Linked DNA regions of Mus musculus. The protein of the gene in region 2 interacts with the protein of the main gene of each other region in a pairwise test. Links are inferred from orthologs where the notes say so. Each region holds a gene or a part of one and is shown on either strand. Other genes may lie near its edges.

What was found.
Region 1: the proteins of Spred1 (region 2) and Ncald interact in binary tests that used the Homo sapiens proteins (3 or more experiments, as listed by UniProt). The link is inferred for Mus musculus from reciprocal best matches to the Homo sapiens genes SPRED1 and NCALD.
Region 3: the proteins of Spred1 (region 2) and Hpcal4 interact in binary tests that used the Homo sapiens proteins (3 or more experiments, as listed by UniProt). The link is inferred for Mus musculus from reciprocal best matches to the Homo sapiens genes SPRED1 and HPCAL4.

The regions. Positions count from the first base shown.
Region 1 is NC_000081.6:37,456,612-37,460,361, forward strand, and holds the start of Ncald (neurocalcin-delta), read right to left. Parts: upstream 2,772-3,750; 5' UTR 2,606-2,771; intron 2,522-2,605; exon of another isoform or gene 2,409-2,521; intron 1,976-2,408; exon of another isoform or gene 1,878-1,975; intron 1-1,877. UniProt on the Homo sapiens protein: May be involved in the calcium-dependent regulation of rhodopsin phosphorylation. Binds three calcium ions.
Region 2 is NC_000068.7:117,162,488-117,166,137, reverse strand, and holds part of Spred1 (sprouty-related, EVH1 domain-containing protein 1), read right to left. Parts: intron 2,641-3,650; coding exon 2,472-2,640; intron 1,193-2,471; coding exon 1,143-1,192; intron 1-1,142. UniProt on the Homo sapiens protein: Tyrosine kinase substrate that inhibits growth-factor-mediated activation of MAP kinase. Negatively regulates hematopoiesis of bone marrow.
Region 3 is NC_000070.6:123,182,094-123,185,843, reverse strand, and holds the start of Hpcal4 (hippocalcin-like protein 4), read right to left. Parts: upstream 2,341-3,750; 5' UTR 2,220-2,340; intron 2,092-2,219; 5' UTR 1,988-2,091; intron 1-1,987. UniProt on the Homo sapiens protein: May be involved in the calcium-dependent regulation of rhodopsin phosphorylation.

The DNA.
Region 1 (3,750 bases), on a different chromosome or scaffold from region 2:
CTTTATTTCCACCAACCCCAAACTGAAATTTAGTATTTCTTTCCACTAAAATGTGGGTCACAAACCACAGTGCCAGGGATGTTGCCAAGACAAATCGCAGATATTTGCATTTCATATTGCAATTCTTAGACTAACTCTATTTCAAAGCAGCCTTCACGCGAAGCACTGCCTCATTACTGTGGTAGCTATTGCACCTGCTGGTAGGGTATATGACTTAATAACATATGAACAAAGCAATTATCCTGTCATAATGAAAAGATAGTATATTTTATTTTTTATTATTTTGTATGTTTTGAAATTATTCTATAATAACTTTATCCCTCCCATTTTCTTTGCTCCCTCCAATACCTTCTGAATCTCCCCCCTTCCCCTGCCCCTCTCCCCTCCCTGCTTTCTTTCAAACTCATGGCCTCTTTTTCTTTTTCTTTTTTTAAAGACACATTTTCATGAAAAGTAGTTTCCTTTGCAACACAGCATACTTTGTTTTATGCACTTCAGATATCATTCTGGAAAAGAGTCCACAGGTAGCACCAGACGGCCAGACGTGCTCGTGGCACTGAAAGGGTTAAGGCTTCCTGAAACTAGACCCAGAGCCTTTAATAATTCAGCAGCCAGGTTTCTAGAGTCAATCATTCCATGCTGGCATCTTCTGAGGCTGAAGCACTCTTGACCTTGATAGCAGGCAGCACAGACTCGCTGCTGCAGGGGGATGCTCCTCAGCCCCCTTTCCTTATTTAAAAAAAAAAAACAAAACAAAAACAAAAAACCAAACCCTTGGCTCGAGGCTTTGAAAGTTCTTATTTTCATCAGGGAGGCTCTTTTCCCAACTTTTTATCACCGACATTTTGCCACTAACACCGACTCTCTCTCTCTCACAGTTTTGATTGTTGGAATCCAGTCTCATGCATGAGGGCATGAGGATGTCGTACATAATCATCTTGTGAATTTAAAACCAGGGAGAGAACCAAGAAAAAGAGTGAAGATAACAGTCGACACAAGAAAAGTTAAAGCACCAAGTGTATACCACGAGAGATGCCTTTAAATGACAGTGCTAGCTGGTCCCCCCATTCTCAATTGAAATGTCACACACCAGTTGACTCATGAAAGTGGTAGCGTCTGGGTTACAAGAACATGAGGTCAGTTAAATGACTGGAAGACGTCTTAGTAAATACATGTATGTACAAGCACATCAGACAGTGGACAGTCCTAACGGAAGCTCTGATCAAAAGGTCCATTCACTGAAAGCTGCTTGGAAAATAATTGATTCAAGCAGTTATTCATTTACTGCTGCGGCTACAGGCTCTCAGAATTCTCACCCAACGAGAGCAAAATGTAGAACCCACAATTCTGAGCCTAGTAACAGAAGCAAAAAACAATGTATTCTTTCACCAAACTAAAATATAACTATATCGTCAACCTACTGTCCAAACAATGTATTATTTCTCCAAACTAAAATATAACTATATCATCAACCTACTGACTGCATATATCGAGTGGAGCCAGTCTATCTATGCTCCTTCAAATGCTGGTTCTATTTCAGATGGCTGTCTAAAATACGCCTCGTTTCTGTTAAATCTGTAAGATCTAGAAACCTGTTTATCCATCTAGGCTTCTGTTTGCTTCAGAACCTGAGGTTTCCTTGAAACTTGGAGCTGCAGAAGGAGCTAGCAGAACCACAGCAATGCACACACAACAGCCGGAGCAATCCTTGCTCATCAGTTACCAAATCACTCACACAAGACCTGGAGCAAATTTTTATCGAGCATCCTCAATCTACATTTCAGTTAGGGAAGACCTCACATCAATGCATATTTAGTTCCAGGCTAGTTTCTTCTCAAGATAATTACTTTTAAGAATAAAGATCAGAACCAGCTTACAGGACTCCTTAGAAAAGGCCAGTCAGTCCCTCCTCTTCACCAGGGTTTTCAGAGAGAGCGAGCCACAAAATAGCACTTCACAGTAACACCCACAAAACAACCACACGCACACACATAAAGGTTCCACCCCGACTTCCTTGGCATATTGCAGATTCTTTTCTCTAAACAGGAAGCTGTTGACAGTTCCCCTCTTATTTACAGAGTACCAAAAGCCCCCTTTACAATAATAACCACAACTTTCAAAGTCTAGAGTCTTTTCTCACGGTTCCCATTGTTGCTAATTATACATGCTGCAAATGAGGTAGAAACCAAATTCCAGACTGCTGTGGGCTGACGCAGAATCAGCAGCAGCAACAAGGAAAAGTTAGCTGCTCCCTCCAAGGCGGTGCTGGAGTTACCAGACCCCAAACAACACTGAAGGAGGGATTCCTAGAATTCAAGGGAGCAAATTTGGCTCACGCTGCAAAATGAGAATTTCTAAATAATGTATGTTAGCAAGCATTGCGCAAGAAAGATTACATTTTAACCTACTTCATGGAACACTAATCCAAATTTAACCAAGTTCCAGAGACTGCCTGAAATTCGTGACTGGAAGCTGCTTCACATTCTTTGGCTCCGTTCGTCAGTAACTGCTCTTGAAGGCAAAGTTGTAGGAGGTTAAGAGGGGAGGGAAAACCATCAGGGGCTGTGAAACCACGTAACTCCTGTGTATAAAGCAAACCGATTACCTCACGCTGAAGAAGTGGGGGTTTAGTAGTCCATGCTCCTGCAGCCCCTGGGAAGCAACAACCACAGCTGTAGGGACAGCAACAGCGGCGGCGGCGGCAGCAGCAGCAGCAAGGTCCAGCATCCACCAGATTCTCACAAGCCTTTGACTGTGCGGACTCAGCCACAGACTCTGCCTCTGGCTGACGTCAAAGTCCCTGTCACATGGCCAGATAAAAGCCAAGAGAGCATTGGTTGTCGTAGCAACCACAGACTGGCTCTGAAATTATTTCAATAGGTCATCTGTCACTGATGTGTGTGCTCGTGTGTGTGCATATCTGTGTGTGCATGTATGTATACACATGGATTGCAAAACCATTGTGAACAGTGCCCGGCAGATAATTTCAACCCTCAAAGTTGTGACTCACGAGTGCCTGCAACTTTCATCATTAAAGCCTGCTTGTCCTTTCTCTGGTTGCCAGAAAATGCATGCTGTGACCCTTAGTCTTACTATCACAGCACAGAGCCCCTCCCCCTCCAGTCAAAAAAAGAAGCTGAAAACATTCATGAGGTGGTTTTCTTAGTGAATTAAATTCCCCTCTAAATAAACTGAGAGAAAACAGCTTTCAAGAGATTGTTGGTGGAAAAACTGTATATTCTTGAAACTGAATCCTCATCGGTGTCCCGAGAGCATGCCGATGAAAGATGGTGTGGCTGAAGGAGCCTGACAGGAAGGAAGCATGCTGCAAAAAGCAGGGTAGATAAAGCCAAGTCGCATGCCACCTAAGATTCCTTGCAAAAATGATGACCAGAACACTTCCACAAGGGCACAACTTTAGAAGGACCTGGAGATGATGAGAAAAGGGGCCAGACCCCTCCGCAGGTCCCACACTCTACCCTCCCACGATTCTCTGGTCCATAACGGACTGAGGGAGTTTCATGTTGAGTGACTGGTTCGGCATCCCACAGATGGAATCTCCCTACCACAGAGGAGTCAACAGTGCAGCCCACCTGTTCCCAAATTACAGCTTCATTGCCTTCAGGGACACGTTAGCTGATCTTTAGCTCTGTGTGAGTGCTTATGACCCAGTTCGTTCTCATTCTTAATTAACAGGAAGCCAATTAAACAAAATTGAGTAAAACCCATAGGAAGGCATTATGAAAAACC
Region 2 (3,650 bases):
GTTCTTCTGTTGTATAAGCCACGGTTGTGGACATTTTGATATGGAGATATGGCTGCCATCTTCCTGACTATATGCTACTAACAATTTGCAATTCCTTTTTCTATAAACTTTCTTAAGTGGAAAGTAGTGAACAGGTGTGTATTGTTAATTTTGTTGGCTTGCCAAATCATATATGGTATGTAGTTGTTTGGCTAAACACTAATCTAAACTTTGCCACACATTATGCTTTGGACATGACTACATGTAATCAATATACAGTATGTGTCTTTTTTTTTTTAAAGATTTTTTATTTATTATATGTAAGTACACTGTAACTGTCTTCAGACACACCAGAAGAGGGTGTCAGATCTCATTATGGGTGGTTGTGAGCCACCATGTGGTTGCTGGAATTTGAACTCAAGACCTTTGGAAGAGCAGTCAGTGCTCTTACCCACTGAGCCATCTCGCCAGCCCTACAGTATGTGTCTTAGTCAGGGTTTCTATTCCTGCACAAACATCATGACCAAGAAGCAAGTTGGGGAGGAAAGGGTTTATTCAGCTTACACTTCCATACTGCTGTTCATCACCAAGGAAGTCAGGACTGGAACTCAAGCAGGTCAGGAAGCAGGAGCTGATGCAGAGGCCATGGAGGGATGTTCCTTACTGGCTTGTTTCCCCTGGCTTGCTCAGCCTGCTCTCTTATAGAACCAAGACTACCAGCCCAGGGATGGTCCCACCCACAAGGGGCCTTTCCCCCTTGATCACTAATTAAGAAAATGCCTTACAGCTGGATCTCATGGAGGCATTTCCTCAACTGAAGCTCCTTTCTCAGTGAAAACTCCAGTTTGTGTCAAGTTGACACAAAACCAACCAGTTCAGTACGTAAGGAGACTTCCCTCAACACAGATGATGTCCCGAGGGGTCTGGAAATTCAGCTCAGTCATGCAGCATGGGTTCGTCTAGCTTCCAGAATGTCAACCTGCCTACTTTAAGGATTTCATACTTGCAACCTGTAAAACTCCTTACAAAACAAACTTTTCTGTGACATGGTTCCGTTTACCTGGAAGACCAAGGTAAATACAGGTTCTTTGAAATTTACTTATGAATTCTAATGATTTCCTACAGAAAATGTTTTAAAATTCCTTTCAAGCCAAACCACTTACTTGTAAATCATCATCTCCTCCTTCAGCCTCAGTTTTTGACGCTGGGCACCCTAAGAAAAGAGGCCAAAGTTAATTAAGCATAGCATTTATATATATGACTGACTGACTGACTTCTGTATTGCCTGGCAACATTCAAATAGCAGATTCTTGTATTTCCTCCTCTGTTAGAATAAAAAGTGACTGTCTCCATCAGCTCTTGGCAAGTTTCCACTTACTTTCTTTCACGGCTAAGCTTCTAGCTGTGTTATATTTCTCTGGTTGTTTAGTGATGTCAAAATGTGACTAATTCAATTTTTTCTAAATTGTCTGACCCAGGAAACATATGTGTTCAGAATCAGAATTTCAGCTGCTCAAGTTAAAAAATGAAGTCAGTCTTAATTTACTATGGGCAGTCAAGGCCCAGCTGACTGACGCGGTGCATGCACATGTCTGTATAAGCTTGTATGGTGTTAAAGAGTGCCATTAGTTATAACAAGTGAATGCAAAATGATGTATGGTAGCAGAATATTCTGCATTTATGCTCTAAGCATGGCTATCATGAAGCAGGCATGAGATAAGGAATGAGACCTTTGTAAAAAGTAGTCTAGTTTATTTTGGGGGATAAAAAACTAAGTGACAGAAATTTAGTAAATCTGTTGAAAGAGAACACTGTTGATAAAGACATTGCAATACTATCTTGGTTAGGTGTATGTGCAATTCCTCCTTAAACAGAAAACTGGCTCAGCACTGTGTACCCAGCTTACTCCATCTTAGAAAAAGAAGTGTTCTCTTACAAGGGCATAAATATGGGCTTGAAAGTCAACCCAAATTTGAAATGTATCACTTTCATTTTAACAGCTATGAATAATAATTTTCTCTTTAAAATATTTGTTTTATAAAACTTACCTAAAAATATAATCAACTGAGAGCTTTAAAAAATATGCCAAAACTAACCAGCTTCACACAGTATCAAAACACACTTAGCATTAAGTATTTCCATGCTCATATCTAGTTTCCTCATAAGTAGTTTATATTTCTTCAAATTTTCAGAAAACAGCACCTTGTACTCCCCTACTCTCTGTCTCCTTGCTTTTTTAAAATACAGGCTTACTAAATAACCCAAACCAAGAAGATCTCACATTCTCAATTCCCCTGCCTCAGTCCCTAAGCACTGTGCTAACAGGCATGTTTGACCACTGAGTCGTACCACAAACTGACTGTTATTCTTGGAACATTTTTTTTTCTATTATTAAACACCTTTTAAAGGACAGCAACTACTTTAGGTCAAAGTTCAAAAAAAGAATATCTACTACTTATAAATAATATTCAGATAAGAATAATGAAACCTACCTAGAGATATATCCTCTATAGCTCTTCGAATGCCTCGATCAAAAGCCCTGGCATCAGCAGGACTCTGAAAGGTAAGGCCAAACTTCTTGTCATCGATCTTCCAGTGGTGAAATGTGGGAGTGACCTTATTATAGATGAGGTCTTTCTTAAGCATACATTCCAAAACCACCTGCAAAATCAGGTGCCAAGGTTAATGAACATACAAAATGTATCTAATGTAGCTCTTAGTAAACACTGAGGACTATAAATAAAAGGAACCATTTTAAATAAACTGAGGCCTTGATTATAATCTTCACCAAGTCAACTTGATAAAGAAATTAAGATGGGATCAAAAAGACCATACAGGTTGTAAACAGAATGTATATTTATACCGTAATTTAAAAGAAAAAACCCAGTGCTGCATACAAAACTCTTAGAAGAATAGACTTAGAAATATTTTGAGAGAATCTGGGGAACAGACAGGAGAAAATTTCAAAGATCACCCTACCTTTCTTCCCGTGGTTCTGGTGATCTAACCAACGGGCCTTGTGCATGCTAGACAAGTGTTTCCCATTAATTATATCTTCCAGCCATTCCTTCTCTAAATTTCTTAAGAGATCCACTACAGAAGCAGATCACTTATTTGTCATTATAATAGCTGGGTTATAAACTTTTTTTTCTCCTTTGAGACAAGGTTTCCCTGAGAAGGTTCTGACTGGTCTGAAACTTCTTAGGTAGACCAGGATGGCCTCAAGCTCTCAGACTTTGCCTCCTAAGTGCTGGGATTAAAGTTATGAGCCACCATGCCTGGCTCTGGCTATATAACTTTTCAAAGCTCTGGTTCCTCGTTTTGAAAATACTCATTTTAAAAATACAATAGTATTGAATAGATCCTATAATGAGTGAGTAATAGTTTCATGTCATTTGCAGGACAACACAGCTTTGTATCTTTGGTTTTTGGGGGGTTTTTGTTTTGTTTTGTTTTTCTGAAATGGTTTCAAGTAAGTAACAACAGGTAAATTCCTTTCTTCCTTTTACTTTTTATCTTTAACATTCTCTCTATACATTCACTTCATCTGTTTGTCTACTTTTGCAGTGCCGGAACTGCATTTATGGCCTCACAGGCTATGTGAGTAGTCTGCCACAGATGTACACACCTCACCAAACACTTCTGTTTATGTTATCTGAACTGTAGTATGG
Region 3 (3,750 bases), on a different chromosome or scaffold from region 2:
CTTCCCTGAAACATTCTTCCTTGCAACCAGCCCTTTCCCAGATGAGCAGTGGTCAGGCAGCAGCATGAACTCAAACCTGTGGGCACAGGCAGACCTTGTGAGGCTATGGTGTGGAACCCTCACCCATGCACTGTCTTCTGACACTGATCTAATGATCTAGGACTCCAGGGGAGAGTCTCCAGGTCTTTCTGCCCCTAAGCAAGCTTTCCCCCTTCCAATGGGACTTAGACAATTTCTGAGCATCTTGGATAGGGGGAAAGGTTCCTGATTCTTATTGTTTCTAAGTCTGTCTTCTGGAAGTTTTTCTCCTGTGCCTGCTGCACCTGAGCATCCCGCAGAAGCTTGGAGGCAGAGCCTAGGCTATAGTCACGCTCAGTGAATGTCACTTAGATTATGAGAGAAGAGCAACATGCCCTTCCTCTTGGTACTATGTCACACTGTTTTGTTTGTCTGTGATCTCCTATCAAGCCTACTTCAAAGACAATAGAACTCAGAGTCAGGGAAGAGAAAGGTTCACCCAAGGTCAACTGGAGCCCATCAGCTACAAAGCAAAGACCAGCGCCTATGTGGGTGCGTGCTCTGTTGAAGTCGTACCTTCTGGAGGGCTATGCTTCACTTGAGGAGGTACTCCTTGCTTCAAAAATCTCTGCCCCCTCCTCTGTGCTCAGAGGCTTCTTCTAGGGGGTCCGGGGTTAGGGGGTTCAAGTGGAGAGATGACAGTAAAAAGTAGGAGGGACTGAAGGAGGCAATAATCCCACACCCTCGCCTAGCTTCAGAGAAGCTGGTGCTGAAGCGGTTGCCATGGTGACAACAGCTCCCTGGTCAGGAGATTTTTCTCTTTCCCTCTCCTCCCTTTGCTCTTCCACAAGCAGCAGCAATGGCAGTAACAACCAGGTCTTGTTCCTCCCCTTCATAATAAAAGGCAAAAGTGACTCATACAAGGTGAGCTGTGTTGACCACCTATAATTTGGAGCTTTCATGCCAGGGTGGCCTGGTGGTCTGGAAAGGCCCCTAAGAGAATGAGGCTGTAGGATATGTAGGAGGGAGTAGCCTGAACCTTGGCCTGAGTGAAAAGGATGTCCCTACAGTGATGGATGGGGCCTCTCAGGTCTCCTCTGAGAAATATCCTAATGGTTTGAACAGGGCTTTGTTCTCCTGTAATCAGCTGTGGAACCAGAATATGTCAGACCTGGAAGGCTACTCAAGACCATCTCATCGAACCCTCCTCTGTCCTGCTCTTTGCCTATCTCATGAAGAATCTGAGAGGGAAAAGCCTTGGCTAAAGTCAAGCAGAGATCGAGGCGAAGGCAAGGCTTGCACTCTTCTGCTTTCTCATTCAGACATAGGGAAAGGAGAAAATGAGCCCACATGGACTCATCTTTGGCTTCATCTCTGCAAACAACAGGAAGCCGAGAGAGGGAGCAACAGGCACAAAAGGAACAGAGAAGACCGGGTTACAGAGAGAGGACCTGGTGCGTTCCTGTGTGAGGGATGATGAGGTTTAAAGGCTAGAGCTATGGGGTGGTCTTCTGGGAGGAGCAACCCTGGTTTATGCTCCAAGCAAGATAAAGGAAGAAGAGTGTGGAACCCCTGTCTAGTTGGGAGGCTACTAGAAGGGAGATGGTGAATGGGTCTGGAGTAGGAGCCTCAGGGGTCTTCATCCTTTCCTTAGGTATGCTGTGAGCTGTCAGCATAAGGGGCAGAGAGAGTGTAGTCAGAGAATGAATTTGCTATCGAGGTCTTTTGGGGAACAAGACCCTGAGATGGGAATGACAGTGAACTATTGGTGTCGGTGTGGGCTACCTCCAAGTAGAGGTTTCCATGAGGCTTGGTTCTAGAGGCAAGAGAACACAGGGTGACTGAAACCTCTCTTCTAGCACCAGTGACACCACACACCCCCAAGTAAGAGTGTGTGTGTGTGTGTGTGTGTGTGTGCGCGCGCGTGCGCGTGTGTTTGCACTGGAGCCAGAGGAATGGTTGTTCTTACCTGAGCTGGGGGTAAGGAGGCAGCTGTACCTCCTTCTTGAACTGGAGACCCGGCTTGAAGTGAAAGTTCCTGGCCCAAGGCGGGCTTCCCAGATGGCTGTCCACCTATGACAGACCCAGGGTCAGAAAGATGGATCTGAGCAGATGAGGATGGGAGTGGAAGGCGGAGGAGGAGGGGCTCAGGGCCTCCGCCCCGCGAGGTTGCTTCTAGGGCCCGGCCCCACCCTCATTACCTGAGGCCGCTCGCCGAGTCGCTAGATGGCTCCGAGCTTGGGCGGCCGCGGGGACAAGGCTGGCTATCAGGCGGACGACAGGCTCTGTAGGGTCCGCGTCGGAGCCGCCTCCCCAGTTCTTGTATCACTATTTGCTTCTCGAAGGCGACACGATTTGCATAAGACCCGCCTCCTCTCAGCAACTTTGGACATCGATTGGTTCGGCTGGCACCGAGTGACAGGCAGGGTTTCAGGTGGGGATGGGGTGGCCTGTGAGTCTAGGCTACCACAAGAGCGCGCCCCGCCCGTCCGCCCGCGCTGACCTTCCCGGAGTCGCCAGGATTGTAGAGGGCTGTACCCCCATCTGTTCCTCAACCCTGAGGCTCAGAGCCTGGGTCACAGTTTGGAGCGAAAAGTACCGATGATTAAAGTGGATTCGCAAAAAACAACCGCACCGTTGCTATGGGAACAGAAGAACCACAGTTGAATTTCTAAGCCTTCTCTTCCTGGGCCCCAGCGGGGGTGGGGGTAAGATAGGGGGTGATTCATAAGATGCGACCCCGTCTCTTGTCCTGCCCGTACCTGGAGGGGATCAATGAGGAGCTGCGGAGTGGCAAGGTGGAAAAGGGGAGATGGGGTGGTCAAGAACTCGCGGCTTTGCACCAGTGCCCCTCCACACCCACTCCTCTCCCGCCGTTTAGCAGAGGGGAGGGTGGGTGCGGCACGAGCTGGGTGGATGTGGAAGTATCCTCTACCTAGACACACGAGGGCGTGGGCTCCCTCCAGCCACCCCCACAACTCTAAGTCAGATCTCTTGTCAGGCTCTATCCTTACTTCTCGAGGACCCCTAAAAAGACTTGTTGGTTCTCCTCCAGAAGGAGCCTTTACAGTACGCCAAGCATTGCTCCATTCCCCACCCTCCCGCATTCCCGTCGCTTAGATGGAGCCGGTTCCCAGCCGCCGCCAGTCTCCGGCCTCGGATGTTGACACAAACCAGAGGCGGTTTACACTGAACGGGTCTGGAAGGTTTCAGGGAGGCGAAAACACCTCCTTTCCGCACTTGGGGGTCTCGTCACAGCCCGCTCAGTCGCCACGGATGTACTGGTGTCTGAGAGCTCACAACCCAAGGTGGTGGGAAAGAGCTCTAACGCCAAACTCAGGGCGAAAGGGGAGCAGAGATCCCTGGGCTGGGCCACGTGCGGAGGAGGGACTTCAAGGGATCTACCAAAAGTGGGGGCGGGACGCGTGGGGGATTGGTTAAATGGGATTGCAGATGCAGAAGAGGCCGGATTTCTGTCCAGGCAGCAAATGGTGGAGATGAGCGCTGTTTGGGGGACTAAGGACAGGCAAAGAACCGGTTTTTGGAGATTTGGTCTTAGAAACTCCCAAACAAAGCACAGCCAGGGGAAACCAGTAGGACCCGCGTCTTCCTTATGAGAGCTATCCATTTCCTCTTAAGCCAGTTGCGCTGTCCCGTTCTAGCAGCTGGATATGCCTTCTCTCTGGGGTTGCAGCATACGGTTGGGAGCTCCGTGTTCGAGTCAAAGAGGAG